5 linked regions of the Rattus norvegicus genome follow. The protein of the gene in region 1 purifies or fractionates together with the protein of each later gene. This does not show direct contact. Links are inferred from orthologs where the notes say so. Each region holds a gene or a part of one and is shown in the gene's direction. Other genes may lie near its edges.

Evidence for each region. Proteins that work in one complex are often made in the same cells at the same time.
Region 2: the proteins of Smarcc2 (region 1) and Bcl7a purify together in Homo sapiens (affinity purification with mass spectrometry; 4 studies listed by BioGRID and IntAct, counting the BioPlex papers as one, with this or other methods). This does not show direct contact. The link is inferred for Rattus norvegicus from reciprocal best matches to the Homo sapiens genes SMARCC2 and BCL7A.
Region 3: the proteins of Smarcc2 (region 1) and Ss18 purify together in Homo sapiens (affinity purification with mass spectrometry; 3 studies listed by BioGRID and IntAct, counting the BioPlex papers as one, with this or other methods). This does not show direct contact. The link is inferred for Rattus norvegicus from reciprocal best matches to the Homo sapiens genes SMARCC2 and SS18.
Region 4: the proteins of Smarcc2 (region 1) and Dpf2 purify together in Homo sapiens (affinity purification with mass spectrometry; 8 studies listed by BioGRID and IntAct, counting the BioPlex papers as one, with this or other methods). This does not show direct contact. The link is inferred for Rattus norvegicus from reciprocal best matches to the Homo sapiens genes SMARCC2 and DPF2.
Region 5: the proteins of Smarcc2 (region 1) and Tbl1xr1 fractionate together in Homo sapiens (co-fractionation; 3 studies listed by BioGRID, with this or other methods). This does not show direct contact. The link is inferred for Rattus norvegicus from reciprocal best matches to the Homo sapiens genes SMARCC2 and TBL1XR1.

What each region holds. Positions count from the first base shown.
Region 1 is NC_086025.1:1,490,475-1,494,649, forward strand, and holds the end of Smarcc2 (SWI/SNF related, matrix associated, actin dependent regulator of chromatin, subfamily c, member 2), read left to right. Parts: intron 1-1,306; coding exon 1,307-1,703; intron 1,704-2,005; coding exon 2,006-2,425; intron 2,426-2,964; coding exon 2,965-3,041; 3' UTR 3,042-3,403; downstream 3,404-4,175. UniProt on the Homo sapiens protein: Involved in transcriptional activation and repression of select genes by chromatin remodeling (alteration of DNA-nucleosome topology).
Region 2 is NC_086030.1:38,901,751-38,906,184, reverse strand, and holds the start of Bcl7a (B-cell CLL/lymphoma 7 protein family member A), read left to right. Parts: upstream 1-1,414; 5' UTR 1,415-1,552; coding exon 1,553-1,644; intron 1,645-4,434.
Region 3 is NC_086036.1:6,106,894-6,111,356, reverse strand, and holds the start of Ss18 (protein SSXT), read left to right. Parts: upstream 1-1,443; 5' UTR 1,444-1,495; coding exon 1,496-1,564; intron 1,565-4,463. UniProt on the Homo sapiens protein: Appears to function synergistically with RBM14 as a transcriptional coactivator. Isoform 1 and isoform 2 function in nuclear receptor coactivation. Isoform 1 and isoform 2 function in general transcriptional coactivation.
Region 4 is NC_086019.1:212,625,270-212,629,821, reverse strand, and holds the start of Dpf2 (zinc finger protein ubi-d4), read left to right. Parts: upstream 1-1,532; 5' UTR 1,533-1,583; coding exon 1,584-1,615; intron 1,616-1,923; exon of another isoform or gene 1,924-2,075; intron 2,076-4,552. UniProt on the Homo sapiens protein: Plays an active role in transcriptional regulation by binding modified histones H3 and H4. Is a negative regulator of myeloid differentiation of hematopoietic progenitor cells. Might also have a role in the development and maturation of lymphoid cells.
Region 5 is NC_086020.1:106,729,451-106,733,684, forward strand, and holds the start of Tbl1xr1 (F-box-like/WD repeat-containing protein TBL1XR1), read left to right. Parts: upstream 1-1,214; 5' UTR 1,215-1,328; intron 1,329-4,234. UniProt on the Homo sapiens protein: F-box-like protein involved in the recruitment of the ubiquitin/19S proteasome complex to nuclear receptor-regulated transcription units. Plays an essential role in transcription activation mediated by nuclear receptors.

The sequences.
Region 1 (4,175 bases):
GCAGGCAGCCCAGAGGTTGAGATCCATAGGTGGGATGCTAGTCATGCTTTCTGGCCGCTGCACCTCTAGGTCCTCCACCGGTGCTTGCCTCTCACTAGGTTCTCACAAACCTGAGTGACTGAGTGGATTTGAGAGATAGTAAGAGACCCGGCAGGTAAATTTGGGAAATAGACAGAACAGACAGACAATATTGATTCAGTTTCTTTGAGAGGGCTGAAGGGGTTGGGGATTTAGCTCAGTGGTAGAGTGCTTGCCTAGCAAGCGCAAGGCCCTGGGTTCGATCCTCAGCTCCGGAGGGGGGAAAAAAAAAAAAAGAGAGGACTGAAAAAGAAATACAGCATGGGGACCCTGCTCTTAGAAACATCAAATATACAACATGGAGATCCTTAAACTACCGGAAAATTCAGATTCGGAGATGTCCTAGTGGAGTAGCTTGCGATTGAGAACAGATTGCTGTTCTAGAGAACCTACGTCAGCCCTAGGGGTTTCTCATGGGCACCCGCACTCACATGCACATGCCCTTACACAGACAGACAGACAGACATATCCATCATTAAAATAACTTTTTCTTAAAGATTTGTTTATTTTTTGTATATTCACTGTATATTCACACTGTCGCTATCTTCAGACACACCAGAAGAGGGCATCAGATCCCATTACAGATGGTTGTGAGCCACCATGTGGTTGCTGGGAATTGAACTCAGGACCTCTGGAAGAGCAGTCAGTGCTCTTAACTGCTGAGCCATCTCTCCAGCACCCCAAAAATAACTTTTTAAAATAAGAGATTTAATCCCAGTACTCAGGAGGCAGAGGCAAGTGGCTCTCTGTGAGTTCAAGGCCAGCCTGGTCTGCAGAATGAGTTCCAGGACAACCAGGTCCACATAGAGAAACCCAGTTTTGAAAAACCAATAAACGTATAAAAATAAAATTAATTCTGGGAGAATCAGAATAAAGTCAAAATTCAGAGGCCAGCGAAGTGTCTCCCTAACAAATAATTAAGTTTGTAGCTGATTTTGAAGGAAGGAAAGAACTTGAATTGACAGGAGCTCGAGGCATTTTCAAATCAGAATAATAACAAGTTCAGAGTTTTGAAATGAAGTGAACCGGAACCACAGCGGATTACCTCTCCTGCAGCGCAGCGAGGAGCAATGTCAATGGTCTCCGTCCCTGGGAGGGCAGAGGAAGCACATGGTTGAGTCTTGGGGAAACACTAGCATGAGATTAGGCTCTTTCAAAAGAAGAAGTGGGTCAGGGAGTTTGCCCACGTCTTCTGGTACCCGGTAACAGTTCCCACTGGTACCGGCAGCTGGAATATCAGAGGCAGCAGCTCCTGGCCGACCGGCAAGCCTTCCACATGGAGCAGCTGAAGTATGCAGAGATGAGGGCGCGGCAGCAACACTTCCAGCAGATGCAGCAGCAGCCGCCGCCGCCGCCGCCGCCACCGCCGCCGCCAGCCCTGCCCCCAGGCTCCCAGCCCATCCCCCCCACCGGGGCCGCGGCACCCGCGACAGTCCACGGTCTAGCTGTAGCTCCAGCCAGTGTGGCCTCCGCTCCTCCTGGCGGTGGGGCCCCTCCAGGAACCTTGGGCCCTTCTGAACAGATCGGGCAGGCAGGGACAACTGCAGGGCCACAGCAGCCACAACAAGCTGGAGCCCCTCAGCCTGGGGCAGTCCCACCAGGGGTACCCCCCCCTGGACCCCATGGTGAGTGTGCGTTCCAGAGTACTTGTTTGCTGTAGAGATGGGCAGATGTTCTGGTCCCTCTGAAGGGACACCCACCTGATGACTCGGATGTAAAAGTTTCTTGCAGGTCCTACAGGTGGGCTCCATTGTACTATGTCCCCCAACTAGCAGGGATGTGTTCCAAACAGATACCTGGTGGAGTTTCATTCCAAGAATCTCCTGCTTATTCTAGTCTCAGTACAAGGGGGTGGCACCAGCGGTGGCTGTGCAGCGGGTGCTGAGCAAGGTTCCAGTCCCTCACCCTGTGTTCTCTTCATTTCTAGGCCCCTCACCGTTCCCCAACCAACAAACTCCTCCCTCAATGATGCCAGGGGCAGTGCCAGGCAGCGGGCACCCAGGCGTGGCGGGTAATGCTCCTTTGGGTTTGCCTTTCGGCTTGCCGCTTCCTCCCCCTGCTGCTCCATCCATCATCCCATTCGGTAGTCTAGCCGACTCCATTAGTATTAACCTTCCCCCTCCTAACCTGCATGGTCACCACCATCTCCCGTTTGCCCCGGGCACTATCCCCCCACCTAACCTGCCTGTGTCCATGGCGAACCCTCTACATCCTAACCTGCCGGCGACCACCACCATGCCATCTTCCTTGCCTCTCGGGCCGGGGCTCGGATCGGCCGCAGCCCAGAGCCCTGCCATTGTGGCTGCTGTTCAGGGCAGCCTCCTGCCCAGTGCCAGCCCACTGCCAGGTGAGAAGGGGCCGGGAGGGGAAGGGTGAGGGAGAGGGAGGGCTCTACACTGTGGGAGGGAGGCCAGGAAGGAAAGGGCTAGAGCACGGGAGGAAGAAAGGCCTCTTGGCAGTCCTCCGTTTCCCAACTTGGCAGCTGTCACCTCTGGGTTGACGGGGCCTTTCACTGGTGGGTCGTGGAGGAGCCCAGTGGCTCAGAGGACGACCTCAGCTGTAAACCTGGAGCCTGGCCACCGTCTGCATGGCGATGGCTGCCCTTTGCTTGTTTCCACCACATGCAGATGCTCCACTTAGAGTCCTTAGGGAGAGGAGGATGGTCTGGGGAATAAGGAGTTCCCAGTGTCAGGTAGAGAAGAGTGTTAGGAAGAAGAAATTATACATAGTGGGTACCTCATTCATCCACCCACCCCTGCATGCCATGCCTGGGTCTGTGTGTGTGTGTGTGTGTGTGTGTGTGTGTGTGTGTGTGTGTGTGTGTAGCCTGGGACTGCAGCCATCCCTCTGCAGGCTCCAGCTCACTTACCTTCCTTTTCTCCACAGACCCAGGCACCCCGCTGCCTCCAGACCCCACAGCTCCGAGCCCAGGCACAGTCACCCCTGTGCCACCCCCACAGTGAGGAACCAGCCAGCTATCTCCCCTCACTCCCCATGGAGATCACAGTCCAGGAACCACCCTCCCCCACAACTGGGACCCTCCCTCAGCCTGGAGAGTTCATCACTACGTAAGGAAAGCTCCTGCCCCTTCACCACCCCACATGCCCAGCAGAGGTGTGCAGTTTTATATCCAATATTATCCACGGACTTCTAAGATGTTTCTAATGCCTGGGAGAGAGGATAGGAGGGAAGGATGTTTATTCAAGGTTCTATTACTGGTTCTGAGGGTGTACCTTCAGAATTACTGCAGTTTTGAAGTGATAACATGAAAATGAAACCCTTTAAAAGGGAGGTTTTAAAAAGACACATCTGAGACCACAAAAAAGAACTTTTTATTTTTATTTTTGAGGGGAAAGGGAACGTTTTAAGAGGAATTAAGTTTTGGGGCAGGCTGTGGAGATGGAACAGGGCACCAAGCCTGTCTGAGCCCCTTGGCAGTGCTGAGTCAGCCCCTCACCCATTCCACTTTATCAAACTAATCCCTCCTGCTGCTTGTCATTGTGGCTGTTAGGCCCAGCTCAGCCAATGACCTTCCCCTCTGAGTGTCAGCCTCGTGTTGTTTTTAAGTCACCTGCTCACTGTCAGCGTCTGTGTACTTGTGGGAAATGTAGTTTGCAGGGATTCTGTGGTAGGTAATAGAGGAAGAAGGGGCCTCAGGTGGGCTCTTCTTCCTGCTTTCCTGGTTGTATCTTGAGTGCCCAACAGGCATCAAACAAAGGTGGAGCTCTAAGAGGATGGGGAGTCTGCAACCCTTGAGTTTTGAAAAGCACTTAAGCACCTACTTTTGACAGTGGGACAGTCTGCTAACTTCTGCCCTCAGCAAGCCTGACAGAACCCAGTGATAGCTAGGAGTTCCCCAAATGAGGACAAAGATTTGGGAGCAGCGCAGCATGGCCCTGCCCCCAGGACTCAGTGCTTGGCTCCACCCACCAGGCGCTCTGCTCCTCCTCTGTCCAAGTGTTTCCTTCCTCCGCATCTCCGCACCTTTCTTCTGTTCAGTCTTCTGTAAAATTTCCTTTTCTTCTTTGTTCTTTTCTTTTTCCTTTTTTTTTTTTTATAAATTAATTTGCTTTCAGTTCCGTCTTGTGGCTGCCTCT
Region 2 (4,434 bases), on another chromosome or scaffold:
GTATTGGTATTAAAGGCGTGCACCACCACTGCCTGGCTCGACTGTTTTTTTTTTGTTTTTCGATTTTGGATTTGAGACAGCGTCTCACTATGTAGTCCTGGTTAGTTAGTCCTAGAACTACGTCCATAAACCAGGCTGGCCTTGAACTCACAGAGATCTGCCTGCTTCTGCCTCAGGAGTGCTGGAGTTAAAGGACTGGGCTACCAGGCCTGACCGTTCATATTTTAATTTTTTTCTTTTTTCTTTTTTTCGGAGCTGGGGACTGAACCCAGGGCCTTGCGCTTGCTAGGCAAGCGCTCTACCACTGAGCTAAATCCCCAACCTCCATATTTTAATTTTTTCCGCATTAGGATCCTGTGTTTAAAGTGGTTAAAAGATAAGCCTGGGGAAGATCCCACAGATTCTCACCCCCATCTCCCCACTAGTTCCCTCTACCAAACCCCTGCAGCACCCCAAACTTCAGGGGGGGTGCTGGGTACTAGAATCACAGCAGTCGCAGATGAAGTTCACGGCTGCAACCTTGAATCACCCCTTGACTCAGTTTCCCCATTTATGAAAGGGCTGATGTTGGCATCAATGCTCATTTTAGGTCATCTCTTGTCCCAGCATCCACCTGGACGAGCATTCGCTCTGGTCCAGTCTGTCTAGCCGCAACTGCACACCCACCTGTCCCTATCCTGGTTGACCGCGGTACATTCTGCCACGCAGCTCGGTCCTAGGGTAGGAAGACAGTTCCTCAAAAGAAAGTCCTTCTGTGTTGGACCAGTCCGGTTTACTTGCTGCTCCGGGCCAATACACTGCACTTCTACTAGGAGCCGTTTCAGATTAAATTGTCATTTTCAGAAAACCCCAAGGAGGTTGATCCGTGACTGGGACAACTTATCTCTACGGGAAAGAAAGTCCTGCGACAATGTCAATTGCCACCGGGCTCCAGCACCTTTCCTAGGACTGTAGTTTAAGCATGGGGAAGCGACTTTCTAGCTCGCACATTTTAACAAGGCAGCTGGCCAGAGACCGGCGCCTCAACTCTTTCTAAGATCACCTCGCGTCCCAAACCGCAGCCTCCAACTCCGAGAACTCAAGCGCCCGACAAGAAACTTGCACGATCGCGCCCGCGGCCACCAACCCGAGCCAGAGCACCCACGGCCTGCAGTCTGCCATCCCCAGGGTGTGTGTCTTGGACGGAGAGGCCCCCAATCGCACCTGCGGCCTCTGGGTGAGTCCGGTCGCGGGGCCGTCCCGCGTGCTGGGAGGTCGGGGTCACCCAAGATAGCTTCCCAGGGCGAGGTCCCCGAGGCTCCCCGGGGTGGGCGGCGGCGCCCGGAGGCCGCACTGCTGGCGGCCGCGCCGCTCCCCCTCGCTCTGTGCAGCTGCCGCCCGGCGCTTGCGCACTGGGCCCCGGGCGCGCGGCGGCACCAGGCTTTGTGTGTGCGCGTATGTGTGTGAGTGTGTGTCTGTGCGCGAGTGAGAGAGCGGGCGAGTGTGGCGAGCAGGACCCGGCGGGCGCGCTCCCCCAGCCTCTCTCTCCTCTCTCTCCCTCCCCGCTAGAACCATGTCGGGCAGGTCGGTTCGAGCCGAGACCAGGAGCCGGGCCAAAGATGATATCAAGAGGGTCATGGCGGCTATCGAGAAAGTGCGCAAATGGTAAGCCGAGGCGCCTGCTCGCTCTCTAGCTCTCCCCGGCTCGCTGCACCGCATCGCGGCCGCCAGCAAGCCGGGACCCAGCGCGCAGAGCGGCGGGGCGCAGCGGCCCCGGGCCCGGAGTTGGCGAGGGCGCGCGGCCGGGGTCACCTGCGCCCCGCGGGGGCTGCGTCCGCTGCCCAGGTGTGCTTGGCGCCGGTCGCCCACCTGGCGCGGCGGCGGAGGCAGTGGCGGTGGCGGTGGCGGCTGCAGCCCGGAGCCCGGAGCTCCGAGCTCGGCTCTCGGGAGAGGGGGGTTCGCAGCCGGCCCCAGAAGCCATTTCGTTTTTTTGTGCAAGTCACATGAAAGCGGCTTCCCGCGCGCCGGGGCCGTGATGCCGGCGGCGGCGGGCAGAGCGCGAGCTCCATTGTGCAGCGCGGAGCGGGCCGCCGTCTCCTCCCGGGGCGGCGCGGCGCCGGTGTCCCCCCAACACACACACACATACGCACACACACTCTCACCCTACGCCCCGACCCGCCCGCAGCTCCCCGCCTCCCAGGCCTCGGCGCCCTCGAGTCTGCGGAGTTTGCAGAGCGCGAGCCGTTTAAATTTAGCGCTTTGGGCAGCCTGGAGCGAGGGCTCCGGGCGAGGAAGGAAGATGGGGGCGAGCGCTAGGAAGGCGGTGGCGCGGCCCGGGCGCGGAGCACCCACGGCTCCCACGCGCTCCGCGCGGCACCCGGAGCTTGGGGAACGCGATGTTTGCAGCCAGAAGCCAAGTCCTGGGCCGTGTCTTGCCTTCTTCTAGCTGGAGCTGGTGTTTGTTTTGCGGAGAGAGCGAGCGACCGTTGTTTTTGTTCTCTGCACTGGGGGAGGAGGAGGGGACCGGGAGATTCGGTGTGGGCCGTGCGTGTTTTTCGAGCTCAAATTAGATCGTGCCCGGCGTGGCCTCGTTATAATTAGTAGGATGGAACATTTTCACGGCCCTCGTCGGGATCTGACTCCGAGGCGGCCCCAGAGACCAGGCCTGAGGCTCCAGTAGTCCACCACCAGGTTGGGTCAGACTTGTTGAAAACTCCCTGCTCCCTGATTTTAACTTTATTACGTTTTTTTTTTTTTCCCACGGCTTCATCTGGGTCCGAGCGGGAGAGGAGCAGCTGCGAGGGTGTCCCCAAGTGTCAGCGGCTGCTGGCTGGACCTGTCCTTTATAGGAACTGGCCAGGCCCCACTGCAGGCTGTTATTTTGGGGGGGTTTCATTTCTTGAGTCACGCCTCTGTTGTTGTTGTCTTTTTTTTTTTAAACACTTCTGGGGGTGCCTGTCTCCGGCTTGATGGTGTCACAAGTTAGCTGTCCTTTCAGAGTGAAACCCAACAAAAAAGGCAAGGAAAAAAATCAATAAAGTCCACGTGCTCCCGGGCCTCCTATGGAAAGGGCTGTCTGCGGATGGCCGGATGCCCGCCGTGGGCTGGGTTTGGCTCCAATGGGACAAAGAATTTTCACAACCGTGAGAAGGGGAGGCTTTCCAAAGTTGAGATCCAAGTCCTGGGTGCCGGGAGCTCCCCTGCTGAGCAGGGCGACTAGTGCCCAACTGGAGCCATTTAAAAATGGCAGAAACAGCTGCAGGCCAAAACACAGGAAAACAGCACAGTAACGGACCCTCTCCTGTGGGACTCTCAAGGGAAGGCTGGGGTGGTAGAGAACTGATATCAGAGCAAGCGTCCCTTCTGTCTGTCACCGGCCTGGACGGTAGAAAGCGGCAGGCTGGCCGGTGTAAGCTGCCTTTCTGGTCCTGGAGCTGTGACAGCTGCCGCTGGGTCTGCCAGCTGCTCTGCAGGGCGGGCAGATGGAGGGATGGGGCTTTCCACCCTGCGGGCCCCAGAGCAGCAGGCCTGGAGACTTCTTCCATCCCAGCGGGTTCACAGCCTGCGGAGCCTGGGAGTGCAGCGGGGGATGTGGCCGCCTTCTTCCCCGTAGTGCATCATGACCTCTAAAGACTTCAGGCTTTTTGGGATCTCCTGCTCGAGTTTCTACTTCTCTTCCTAGCTGTGACCTTGGGCAAAGCATGAAACTCAAGTTCCTTGCTGCTGTCAACTAGGGGACTCGGTGCCCCTTCCCCTTCCAGAACTGCCTAGGACTGGCTAGTCAGGTGGAGTCACTGGAGTACACAGGGGCCCTTGTAAACGCCCTTATGTAAGGTGGACTTTTGTAGAAATTTGGATCTGCTTCCCGTCCCCATCTTACACAGAAATGCAGGGGGCTTCCTTGAGTCACGGGATCTGGTCTTGGCCTGTCTGTACAACAGTGTTGCAATCAACCCTGAAGGCTTTGGGGTTGTTTATTAACTGTGGGCACCAACCATGCATTTCACCACTGGCTAAGGCATGGGGCTGCCATAATTAGCAAAGGAAAATACAGAACACCCAGGTAAATTTGAATTTCAGAAAAATAACAAAGTGATTTAAAAAAAAAAAAGTCCCCCCTCCCCCGTATAGTGATGTATGCCTATAACCTTAGCACTTGTAGAGGCAGGAGAATCAGGAGTTCAAGGATAGCCTCAGCTACATACTGAGTTCTGGGCTAGCCTGGTCTACATTCAAGCTTGTCTCAAAAAAAAAGGCAAAAATGAAAATGTCTACTGAGAATATTGCTTTAATGGTAGAATTTGAGCTTAATATGTACAAAGCTCTGGCTGTACACACACACACACACACACACACACACACACATACACACATATACAACCCTTTATGTAAGTATAGCCCATGAAATATTTGAGACACATACCAAACAGTTATCCATTTATCTGAAAAACTCAA
Region 3 (4,463 bases), on another chromosome or scaffold:
AGGAACCACATGTGGAGGTCAGAATAAAACTCGACTGAGTTGTTTCTCTCCTTCCACCCTGTTGGACCCACGGATGTCGGGCTTGGCCACAAAGCACCTTTACCAGATGAGCCATCTTGAAAGCCTAGTCTTCACCCTTTAGATTTCTTTAAATCTAGTGGAGAATTCCCAACTTAAGTCACACGAGTAGCCTGTAGTTCTGACCTTGTTTGCTCATTGTTAAACTTGACTTACATGCATATTTGGTTTTGTTTACTTTGTGTATATCTTTTCTATATGACGGCATGAAATCTTTGAGAGATTCCGGTGCAGTTGGTCAGTTCTACCACCCATATAGGGCACAGACACCGAGAACTGCTGAATAAATTAAACTGACCTGTGAAATTTATTTGGAATAACATTAAAAAATATGTTTACTTTTTACTTTATTAATAATTTGGGTACTAATTTTTTGTTTTTGTGAGACAGTGTCCCTCAATGTAGCTCTGTCCTGGAACTCACTCTGTAGGCCAGACTGGTCTTGAACTCAGAAATCAGCTTGCCTCTGCTTCCTGTGTGCTGAGATTAAAGACGAGCACCCCCATCACCCGGCTAGACACTAATTTTTGTGCATCAGTGATGTTGAGTAATGATTCACATACACTTCCCTTTTGTGCGACTGGGAAGTCTACGGTTGCAGAATTAACCCGCAGCAACGTGTTCCTTTTTAATTTGCAGCTGTTGGCTTTATTCCCCTCATACTGACTTGAAGTCTGGGCCTAATTAAGCACCAAGTATTTAACTGGAGAAGAGGGTGGGTTTTCACAGCTTCGTTCCAAAGGCCCCAAGTCAGATCAAGTAGATCCACAAGTGTGAGGAGGGTGTATTTCTAGGCCAACTTTGAGTCCCGGGTTTTTTTTTCGGTTAGGCTAGACTTGGCGAGCGTGCACTCCAAGGTGCGCACGTGGAGCTCTGGGAGCCATTTAAACTAGCGAATCGGCGTTCTCTGTGCTGACCCGGTAGGCGCTCCTGAGTCCCGACTGTCCTCTTTTCCTCTGGGCTGCGGCCTGGGCGAGCCTCTTCCCCAGGGGGGTCGAGGGCGCAGTTAGGGGTTAGTGTAGCAGGCGGGCCCCGTGTTTCCTGTGACAGCGCGGCCCAGCCGCTCCCTCCCGTCGTGGCGGGACCATTTCCTGAGCGTCCGGGCGGAGGCGGCCGGCGCGGCGCTACCATCAGCGCAGGGACGCGGGGGTGCGGCTGGAGAGCGCGCGGGGACAGCGAGGCGGACCACGGCGGAAACCTGGGCTCGAGCCACACCGGCGACAGTGAGCTTCTCAAATACTTTTCTGGGAGCTGCAGCCCCGCGTTAAGGCCGAGCTGGCCAGCGAGGCACGCGACCCCGGAGCATCCTCCCCCACCGCGCGCGCTAAGGTGGGACTGCCCGGAGGCGGGCGTCGGGCCCCCAGCTCCGCGGCCCCCGGAGCGCTCGGGACTCGCTGATCGCGGGCTCGGCGGCAATATGTCTGTGGCGTTCGCAGCCCCGAGGCAGCGGGGCAAGGGCGAGATCACGCCCGCCGCCATCCAGAAGGTGAGCTGGGAGAGGCGCCCGGACGCGGCCCGAGGCGGGATGGCGTGGGGGCGGGCTGACGCCCGCTTCCCGACGGAGCCCTTTGGCGCCTGCTCTGCCCGCACAAAAGCGCCGGCAACCGCCGCCGGATTTCTCTGCCGGCCCGGTGGCCTTGCGTCGCGGGGCCGGGAGGGGAGTGGCGCCCGAGACTCCGGCGTCGCCCCGCCCCGCCGGGACCCTAGTCGCGGAAGCCGGAACGCAGAGTGCCGCGCCGCAAACTCCTCGGAGTTGAGGCCCTCTCAGGACAACTTGGGAACCTTCCGCAATGGCTCGGGGCTGGCGGGGAAGGAGCCGGGGGCTCGGGGACGCACCCGGGGTCTGTTCCGGTCTGCCGCAGATAGATGTGCCTGAGCGCGCAGGGCGGGCGCTAGGGTTCCGGAGGGCGAGCCTGCTCTCTCCGGCCGGGCGCTGTTGGCCATCTACACCGACGGGCGGGCGGTTTGCATGAAGTCACGATAGAAGCGCTGGGAGCTGAGTCCTCAGAGCGTGCCACCCAGTCGCCGTTCCGGGACTGCCAATTGGGGACACAAAGGTTCTTTATTATTCTCTGAGCCTGTGTCTAAAAGCAATGCACTATTCTAGATCTCAGTGTTGTAGACTTTAGAAAGTCGCCTGTTAAGTTTAGTAGTTTGCCCCGAGTATTAACATTTTGTTCCCTGCCTTGGAGTAAGGTTAAGGCGAGCAAGTCTACCTGTAATACTGATGGGGCACCCTCGCAGACCTGTGGGTTAAGGCCATCGGTTTCTGTTTACTGTCAGGTTCTCTGTAGTGTGGCATTTGACATTTGCCCAACTGTTGCTTTAATTTCTTTGAAGAAACCCGCCTGGCAGTGCCTGGAAACGCAGTTGGTTTCTCTAGTGTGCCAGGTTGAGCCTGTAGTCTTGTGAGCAGCTTTCTTTAAGCACACACGTGCAGAAAGCATGTTGCTTAAGGGATTCCTTCTGAACTCAAGTCTGGCGTTTTTATTTTTCTCAGTAGAATTTTTTCTTGTATAAGTCTGTTAGTTGCTTATCGTGAGTGGTTGATCTGGGTGCTAACTGCTTATTTTTCATTCAACGATGAAAGGTGAAAAATGGATTAAAATTCCTTTGTTATTTATGCGTCTGTGTACGTCATGTGCGTGTACATATTGGGAAGGTCAGAAGAAACATTAGATTCTCTGAAATCGCAGTTACCAGTCTCCTTGTGGGTGCTGGAAACCAAACCCAGGTTCTCAGTAAAAACATTAAGTGCTCTTGTCCTCTAAACCATTTCTCCAGCCTCCCAAAAGTATTCCAGTTCAAGCTTTGTTTAGATGGGAGACAGATGGTTGGGGTTGTTTAATGTGTTGTGAGTTCCTTGGTTGAGTATTGAGTTGCTGACACTTGGAAGGCAGGGGCAGTCAGATCTTAAGCTAGCCTGGTCTACAGGGTTAGTTCCAGGGCAGCCAAGGCTACACCCTATCTCGAAAAACAACAAAAACAGTAACAACAGCAATCAAGAACAACAAAATGATTTTTTTTATTTAGTTATTATATTTAAGAAACACACTTTAGAAAAACATTTGCTCTTAACAATAGAAGATTACGATAAATGTGCAGGAAATATCAATTAATGGTAACTGGATCTTGTTTTTTTTTTTTTTAAGATTTATTTATTTTGTGTATATGAGCACACTGCCCCTGTCCTCATGCACACCAGAAGAGGGCATCAGATCCCATCACAGATGGCCTCTAGCCACCATGTGGTTGCTGGGATTTGAACTCAGGACCTCTGGAAAAAGAGTCAGTGCTCTTAACCACTGAGCCATCTCTCCAGCCCCTGGATCTTGTTTTTAATTGAAAATCACATTAAATACTTTTGGTGTTGTCCGCTGGTTACGCATTAAATTATGGAAGGTGGAACAGCTCAGGATGCCTGTTCCCCAGTCTTAAGCTCCTACAAACTCGGGTGCTATGCTAGGGACTCTGTGTAGGTTTTCAACACCCCAAACTGAGGTTGCTTAGATTGTTATAATAAAATGATCATTGATTAAAAAAAAAGATCATTGATGTATCTTGTGGTTTTAAACTTTCTGAGGTACCTCATTTTATGTTACAAACTAAAATTCTATTAAATAATATGCAGCATAGAGATCATTGCCGTAGTCATCTTGGAGACTCGTGAGTCCATACAGTTAGAAAAGAAGCTAGGCAGTTACCTCAGGTCCCTTGGACAGCAGTGCTCCTGTGCCTCTTTTTTTCCTTCTGGAGAAGAACACATTTTCTCCTTCACCCCACAGAGCATGAGATGCTCCAAGATCAACTGGGAGTCAACTTTTCAACGTGGTAATTAAATGTTTCTGTTTAAAACAAAACAAAACAAAACACCCCAAATCAATGGCCCAGAGGATGGCTCAGCTGGGTTCAAGGACAGAACCAGTGTCACAGAGTTGCCTCTGACTTCACACCATGGCACTTTGTGTTGTGTGTGTGTGTGTGTGTGTGTGTGTGTGTGTGGAGAGAGAGAGAGAGAGAGAGAGAGAGAGAGAGAGAGAGAAGGGGGGCTCATCGAGGATTGAACACACACACACACACACACACACACACACACACACACACACATACACACACAAATGATAAAATAAGTCAAAAGAAACACCTACTTTCCCTTCTGAGTTTCAAAGGAAGTAATTGAGGTAGGGAGCCAACATAATTGACTAAGTGATAGCATCCCACGGATACAAAGTGAGATTGTTTTTTTCAAGCTAGGGTTTCTCTGTGAAGTCCTGACTGCCTTTGAGCTCACTCTTGTAGATCAGGCTGGCCTTGAGCTCAGAGATCTGCCTGCTTCTGCCTCCCGAGTGTGGGGATTACAGGTGTGTGCCACCCCTCACCCAGTT
Region 4 (4,552 bases), on another chromosome or scaffold:
AGCTAAATCCCCAACCCCGACCCTCTTTCAAAAAACAAAAACAAATACAAATTTTAAAAGCCAGTGTACTGGGGTTGGGGATTTGGCTCAGTGGTAGAGCGCTTGCCTAGCAAGCGCAAGGCCCTGGGTTCGGTCCCCAGCTCCGAAAAAAAAAAAGAAAAAAAAAAAGCCAGTGTACTGTAGGAACACTTGACATTGTTAGCTGTCCATTAAACACTTGTGTGTACTTTGGGACTTCCTTTTGATTGTGGTATAGTTGAAGGTATGGTGCCTAGACAAGCTAAGGAGGGAAGGTCCTTCTATTTCTAGCTACCTCAGTGTAAGGAGGTGCCTGAGGTCAATGAGTTCAAAGCTTCAGGTTACCACTCTGACACAGGAGTTCCATGTATGGCTGGTGTCTGTCCCAGAACCCAAGGCAATAATGTCCTCTACCTGTGGCTCCTCTAGCTTCAGCTCAGGTCTCGGGTGAGACTGCATGAGTAAGAATGTAAGAAAGGTGCCTCTCTTTTACCCTACCCCACCCCGCCAGGAGAGAAGCTACACCAGCACTGAGGCTGCAGGAAAGTGAGAGAATACAGACTCTGCCAGGGCCTGCCGTTAATACTGCATACAGCTGGTAGCCATGTGTAAGCTTTGGGGATCTGTGTGGTTTCAATATGGTTGGCCCAGGGAGTGGCCTTGTTGGGGGAGGTGTGTCACTGTGGGGGTAGGCTTGGAGAGACCTTCCTCCTAGCTACCTAGAAGCCAGTCTTCTCCTGTTTGTCTTCTGAAGAAGATGTCGAACTCTCAGCTCCTCCAGAGCCATGCCTACCTGAATGCCATGATGATAATGGATTGAACCTCTAAAACTATAAGCCAGCCCCAATTAAATACTGTGCTTTATACGAGTTGCCTTGGTCATAGTATCTCTCCACAGGCGTGGAAACCCTAAGATAGGGTTCCATTGAGCCAGGGTGTCAAGAAGTAGGTCAAAAGAACTGTGGGATCCTGGAGTTGGAGTTACAGACAGTTCTGAGCCTCTATGTAGTGTAAGCTTAGGTTTTTCAAAGCCTACTTTATTTAGGGTTCTTAAATGCTTCAACCTCCCTTTTAGCCCACCGACGAGAGGTAGGGAAAAAGGCAGATTAATAGGCAAAGGGGGTTGCGGACAGAGGTACCTAAAGGACTGGGTACCTCCCTGACCTTTCCAATCCTTCCCTGTGAGTCAATCATGTGTCTAACGGTCAGCTAGGCAGGACACTGTTGCTCCTTCTAGCTCATCTGCCTGGCCTATTCACTTACCTTTCTCACTTTCCAACCAAGCCTTCCTGAGGCTCTACTAAATGGAGGGGAGACAGATCTCCAGAATGAGCTGCAGAGGGCGCATAGTTTTCCAATCGCGCCTGCGCATCGGGATCCCCTAGGCTCCAGGTCGGGTCGTTTTTTTTTTTTTTTTTTAGCGCTCGCCCTCGTGAGCCTGTGCGTGCGCGCACCCTCGGGCTGCGCCTGCGCAGAGGATCGAGGACCGTGTGTCCTGAGAAGGCTTAGCGCCTGCGCGTTGCGGGCTTCGGGGCCTCCCGGCCTGAGGGAGAGGAACTGGGAAGATGGCGGCTGTGGTGGAGAATGTAGTGAAGCTGTGAGTGGTCTTCTTTTTTCTTTTTCTTTTTAAAAATCTCTCCTGTACAGGAAATCTTGTAATGGGGCCTGGGAGTAGAGAGGGAAGTGCGGGAAGAGAAAAGACAGAGAGAAGGACATGCCCGGGAAGTCCTTGCTGTGCGACTGCTGGTAGGGAGGGCAACAGGAGACTCTGGAGAAGGCGCTGGGCTTCTTTTGGAAACTTGTGGAGACCGGGAGGGGGGCACACTAGAGTCCCCGACGAGCGTCCTTCTCGCGGGCCGAGCCCCGAGCGGAGCTGCGGACTGCGAACGAGAGGCTCACGGTCCCTGGCCCCTCAGTCCCGTCGCGCTGAGGCCGGCGGCCCTGGGAGATCGGGGTCCCCTCTCCGCCCACCGCCCTCCCTGGGACTACAGGCTCCGCCGTACCTGCTGGGATCCTAAGATTTAAGCAGCCCGGTGACATTAACCGGGAAATCCGGGGTACACGAAACTAAAACTGTTCTTGGGAAGAATTGTTCCAAGAGCAGATACAGAAGGGAAAGAACTTCTGGGAGTGGGCAACTAGACCGGAACCAGACGGCCTTCTGGTCCGCAGGAGCCCCGAAGTGGGCGTTCTCTGTACCCTAGATGCCATTGTGCGGGTCAGATTTCGAGCAGAGCTGAAGTTAACGGTTGTTGGGAAACACTGGGAACGGGGACTGGCCTGTTAGCCGCTTCCCCCGAGTTAGAGGTGTTTGGGGTTTTGATGAGTCTCCTCCTTCCTTCTTGAAGAAGAATCGAGAGTTTTGGAACGGGGTTAAAAATGCCCGTTGGGCTTAAGAATGGCCTTTTCTTCCTTTAATGGCCATGTTGGGCGTGATGTAAGAATAGAAAAATGGAAGTGTTCAGGTGTCCAGTCAAAGCTTTTGGATTCTGGATGGCAAAGTAATGGTTTAGGAACTATTCTGGAGGACTTTTCGCAGCTTCATCTGTCTTTGTCGTGGGCTGAGCCCCCATAGTCCCAAGAGGCTTTTTTTTTTAAGGTTAAGTTGCTTCTCCCCCGCTGCTTGGAGCCCTTTTCTTCGAGAATGCTTTCCCACCTCCATTAAGCTAAGTGCCTTCTCTTGTGGCTTTTTTTTTTTTTTTTTTTTTTTTTTTACTTGCTTTTGGCTTCATCCTGCTGCCTCTTTCAACCACCCCTCCTCCCAACACTATTATCCTTATGATCTGCCCCCTCCGGCTTCCCCAGCCCTCTTTAGGCTGACATTTCCCTTAATTTAGAAATGAAGCTGTTAATTTAACATTTTTATGGTTCTCCTTCTAGACTCAGCTGTTAGGTCTTTGTTACTCTGCCTTTCTTTGTTGACCTCCCCTATTCCTGGTGGAAGGGGAGTTGTCCTGTGCCCCCACTCCTACCCCACAGGTTTCCTGTGAAAAGAGGAGCCACAGCTTTTACCCTGGAAATCTTACTTTCTAGAAGAACGTGTTGCCTAGGTTTTCAGAATTACATGTTAATGGAGCTCTTCATATTGAAAGATGGTCTTGCGGAGAATGGAGTTGCCAACCCATTGGTGTAGTATTTTAAGTGTTGGTTCCCATTTAAATAGAGCAGTGCTGTTCCTGCCTCTTTAACCAGTCAATGGTTCCTAGTGTCAGCGAGGTACTGAGTTGATTCTTCCCATTTCTAGGTGCAGAAGACTAGACATCACTAACACGTACCTCACAGAACTTTCCCTTTATAGAGAAGACTTTGATTCTCACACCATTCTCACTTTGGAAAGATGCCTTTCTGATACTTTCTTTTTTATTATAGTGTGCTTAAGTCTTCTGGCAGCTGACATCACTCATTGAGGGAAAGACCACTAGTTCATCTTTTTCTTTGATTTTTGCCTTGTGAGAAGACTTTGTCTTAATTTTCTGCTTTTCTCAAATACATTATCATGGTTGACATAGTCTTTAGAGTATAGAGTAAATACTAGTCTAAAAAATAACCATGACTACCAACTAGTTTTTAAAACTTTATATGAGTTATATAAGGCTATCTGTAGAATAACAGAAGCTTGAAATTTTTTGCTACAGAGTCTTGAATTCATGTATTCTCCCCTTTGCTGCTCTCTTCACACACACACGCACACGCACATGGGCACACATACATGTACATAATTTCTTCTGGCCATTTCTCCTACTAGAGCACTTGCTTCACCTTCTAGAATCTTACCTGACCTGCAGGAGCCGATTGGACATTCCAGTCATTCCTCCAGGCCTTCTTCAGCCTCTGTGCTTTGACTTTGCAGTCTTCAGCCCCACTGGGCTGGTCCTTCCTTCCGTTTGACTTCCAGTGTCAGCATCAATTCCATCAGCAGAAACAAAGGAGCTGCTGCAGTCAGCCTTGTTTATCGGTTTTTCCTGTGTGGTAAGGACAAGGCTGCCTCCTAAAGGCGAGCAAATGTGAGCCTGCTCTCTTCTGTGCTGTGCGCTCCAACACATTCATACCTTAATTATAGTTATTACTGCTCACTGAATCAACTCAGGCTGTACTTGTAGTGTTGCTGTGTGTGTGTTTTTATTAAGCTATGCAGTGGTCTCCTGTGACTGCTCAGTGAAAGTCCCTATCAGATCCTACGTTAGTGCTTGTCCATACAGCTTTAGTTGTAGGTATTGGCCACTGAGACTGAGACCTTCTCCCTCTTGCTTTTCATGCCTCCTTATCCCTACTATCTCCATCAGAATCCTGGCAGGCCAGAGATCATCTAATCTAACTGCCCCAATCTATAGGAGAGGAATGGAGGTTCATACAGATTAACCACATGACTGTGTCCATGTGGTGCCTGTACCAAAATCAGTCTTTTTACTCCCAAATCCATCCTGATGTGATCTAGATGACACCTTCATGGGTCCTGGGGATACTATGGGAAAGAAGTCTCTTCTGCCCTCAATGTTTTTTTTTTTTTTTTTTTTTTTTTTTTGTGGGGTGGGGG
Region 5 (4,234 bases), on another chromosome or scaffold:
CCTATACACATTGGTGTGGGGTCAGCCAGTGGAGCATTGCTGATCTACCCTTAGATAAAACTGGCTCTCCCTCTCCCAGAAGCCATCAACTGTCATTATCAGCTTTTAGGGGTGGGGGCTAATTAGCCCTTCTATACTGGAATATTGACTGGTTTTGATAATTATGCAAGTCTTACACAGGCAACCACAGCAGCGGAGAATTTGTGAGGGCATCAGTCCTTTCGTGTTTAGAGACACTGTTTAGTATAGTCCTGCTGAACCTCTGGTTCTCGCAGTCTTTCCCTACCCACTCATTCTTGATGCTCCCTGAACTTTGGGGACCCATAGATGGCTGAATACTCCACAGATCTGTATTCTGACCATTCGTGTATTAACTATCCTCCACTGCGCAAAGATGCTGTCTCCTAAGGTCTGAGTGCTGCACTAATGTGTGGGTACGGATATTTATCTAGAGCTAGTTTGATATTATATTCATTTAGCAATGTAATAGTATTTTCACCCCTGGTTTAGAAGCCATGGGTTCTTGGCCAACCTTAGAGTACCAGATAGAAGTTTCTTCCTGTGGAACTGGCCCTAGAACCAATTAAAGGAAAACAAGAAAAGAAAAAAGCCCCTGGCTACCCTTGTAACATAATGTGCCACTACTGTACCTCTAGGGACATCCTAACCCCGCTAGTTATTACTACAGCTCATGGGGTTCACAGTGAGACTGTTGAAGATGTTTCTTCTCCAGCAGCCTGGGTAACAACTGGCGGTACTATGACAGTGAGCAAGCAGGCAGAAGGCTTCCAGTCACCAGCTTCATTTCTCCATGGCCTATGACCATTCTTTTTAAACCTATAAATTGATTATAATATTTAATACTATTATTAATTCAGTGAAGTTGGGAACTGTGGATTTGAGATAATATAGAATATACTTTTCAATGTTTATGAGTTTAGAATCAGTATTCAGGATAGGAAGAAAGAAAGTTGACATTCTGAACTCAGACAAATCAATTATGATCATATTTATTGTTCCATGCCCATGACATTCTTCCGTAGCCCAGGCTAGTCCTGAGCTCATCTTCTTACCTCAGCTTCCTGAGTGTTGGCATCATAGGTGGGTCAGTGTGCCTGGCTTTTTCCTTAAGTCTTGTGTTGGGGTCCGTGAGCTGTCACTTTTTTCTAGACTAGATGTCTGCAGACACGTCCTTGATGCAGTTGTCTGTTTGTGACCAGGTAGGGCCTTCCTGAGGACACTTGTCTTACCAGTGTTTCACCAGGAGCTCCTGGTGAAGTACAAACTGCACTCTGTTCGTACTGAATTGGTGAGGCTTTCCAAATGATGTGTGCGGTTTCTGGTCCTTCCAGACCCTTGTCTCTTTGAAGGCCGTATAAGCCCAGAAAAGAGGGTGGCCTAGCAGTTCAACTCATTGTGTTCAAAGTATAAGATTATCCGAATCTGCTCGGGTGTCTGGTTTTGTAGGTTGGGCCACCTCTAGAATCTTTTTTGGGAGGTGAGGGGTTAGGATAAGCTGTTAAAACAAGAAATATTCCCACAACTGAGGTAAGGAAGACTTGGACCTGAGGTTAGTAGTTATAGCTGATTGAGTCATTGACTGGTCTGCCATGTTGGTTCCCTGTTCTTTGTAATCTGGTTCCCTGCTAAACCATTTCTCTTTGGTTCTGGTCTTTTTGTGAGCTCTTGGAGCACCATATACCTTAGGTGGCCCACCCTTTCACTGTGGTGTACACGTAGGGCTTTGAGGCTGTGCAGTGCACAAATTATTAATTCTGTTTCCTGCTAGCCCTTGAGTCACTTGCTGTGTCATGTAAGGAACTTTACTTTCTTCTCTGGTCTGTGTCGAATGTTGATTGATGGCAGAGTTCCTTCATTCATGATTATGAGTTGCAACAAAACAGATAGAAGAGAAAAGAGGATCAGAGTTGGGAGAAATAGAAGTAGCTCCCACAGTTGTGAGCTGGCCACATCCTTAGCTACTGATACAAACTTCCTAGATAATCCGAAACTTGGGCTCCTGGAGATGTGGGAGTAGAGGAATGTGTGGGGTGAGGAGCTAAGTGAGCTGTCAGGATCTGGCGTTTTCAAATCATACGTCAGAAGGGAACATCTTGATTATTTCTTCAGAACCAGATCTGCATTTGAGGAAACAGGGCTTCCAGTCTACGAATGAACTAAAGTGATTGCCACAATACTTCATTGATATTTTCAAAGAATTAGAAATTCACCAGTAAATTTTAAATTAGGAAGGATATTGCAATGAGAAGTCTGTGCTGACACTTTGCCCTGGTGGAAGTCAGGAGGGGTTAGTTCCTTTGGGCTCTTCCTTTTGTACCCTTTAGGTGGGTAATTGACCCCTTGTAGCTGTGCTCTGCTTGCTTGTGGATGTGCTTTTGCACTTGGCAGTTCTCAGTCTCTTTCCTTTTTGGGTCAGCTCTTGTGCAGAGCAGGCTGTGGTGCTTCATGACTCCTTTGTCTTTCTTGGGTTCCTTTGTCAGATGACGAGTGTACTGTTATCTTTAAGCAAACATTATGATGTTGGCCAGTGAGGTAAGTTTGCTTACCTCCAAGACTCATCGTAGTCTGAGTTGAGTCTGTAGGACTCACATGTTGAATGAGAGAAACAACTTCTCGAAGTTGTCCTCTGACCTGCCCTTGTGCATGGTGGGCAGCACTCCGTGCCCACATGCCCATATGACATCACACTTACGTGTACATGCTGTAACTTAATGGCTGTGGTGTGAAGCTGCCTGAGGGTTGAGTTGTCATGTGGTAGTAGGATGGACGCTGCTGAGTTCAGGAATAAAGGAAAGCTTAGACTCATTTACTTTACTCACTTCCTTTCCTTGCAAAATACTGCATATTTGTTATGGGTTTAAGTAGAGTGGAAATTTGAGGACAAGCTCAAAAGAATGGTTCAGGGTGTGGAAAACAGGGAAATTCTGTGGCGTTAAGGAGACAGCTGCTCTGGCTTCTGCACCCTCCCTCTCCTCGTTCTTATTTTGCCTGAGGAGGAACAGTAGAGCAACTCAGGAGGTTACTAAATTCTTCCTTTTCAGGGGTACACCCTCCCCCCTTTTCATTTTTGGGAGAGAGCCCCATACTATAGTCCTGCTGGCCTGGAAAATGATACGTAGACTAGTTTGGCCTTAAATTTGTAGTTAAGTCCCTGTCTTAGCATCGGCCTCCCTGGTGCTAGGGTGACTCTAAGGGATCCAGGCTTTTTGTCTTACTGCAATTCTGATATTCTGTTCAAGTCTTGTCCAGCAGTCAAACAGTGGTTTTATTTTTCTACCTGAAATTAAACATTTTTCTCCTGAGAAATTAGCCACTAAAATTTTTACTAGTGTTTTAATTTGGATTGTTAATTTTGGTAATGTTTGTTTTAAAGTTGTGTAAGGGTCCATGATTCGGCAAAGAATGATACCCTGAACTCTCAATAGTATGTAAATGCAGAGTGTTTTTTTTTTTTTTTTTTTTTCTACAGAAGTCCAGCATGCTGGGCTCTCCCATTACCAGAATAGAGCTTTTATGCCTGATTTAAAGCACATTAGGGCATTCCGGGTTTGGTGACCCTTATGTTAATCTGTTGGGTCCCATCTCTAAGGACATTCTCTTGGGGACTGTGGGGGCTGTAAACTTGCTGGGGGAAGTCTGGAAATGCTGCTGACCCATTGTCCTTGCCTCAGGCCAGGTGGTAGGGCAGCTTCTGAGGCCTGGGGTTGCCTGGAATTGCCCAGTTCTTGGATACAAATTTAGGCCTAGCCGCCTGAACTGCCAGTTTGAAGCCTGTCATGGAATCAGCCTAGTCTCCTTAGTTGTATGGGTTTTGAGTGCCCCATTTTTCTGTTTTAAATTCCTGTTGTCTTCAGCATTTGATTTTACGTAAATTGAAATTTTCCACCAGTCGGAGTTTGAGAATATGTAGCAGAAACACCTTCATGTGCTGCTGTGTGGCACTGTGGAGATGTTTGTTGACATTTGTTGCCTTCCTTTTCTATTTCCTCAAACTGGCCACAGTCTGTAATCTCAATAAGGCAGAGTCAGGAGGAGGATTGCAACCAGGAGCTAACCTGGTCTACTTAGTTAGTCCCGGATAGCCAGGACTACATGGTGAGATTTGGTCCCCAAAATTGAACCAACAAACAAAAAGGCTGAGTATGGTGGTCCGGTGGTCTGCACCTGTAATGCTAACACTTTGAAGGTGGAAGCAGGAGGATCAGAACTTCAA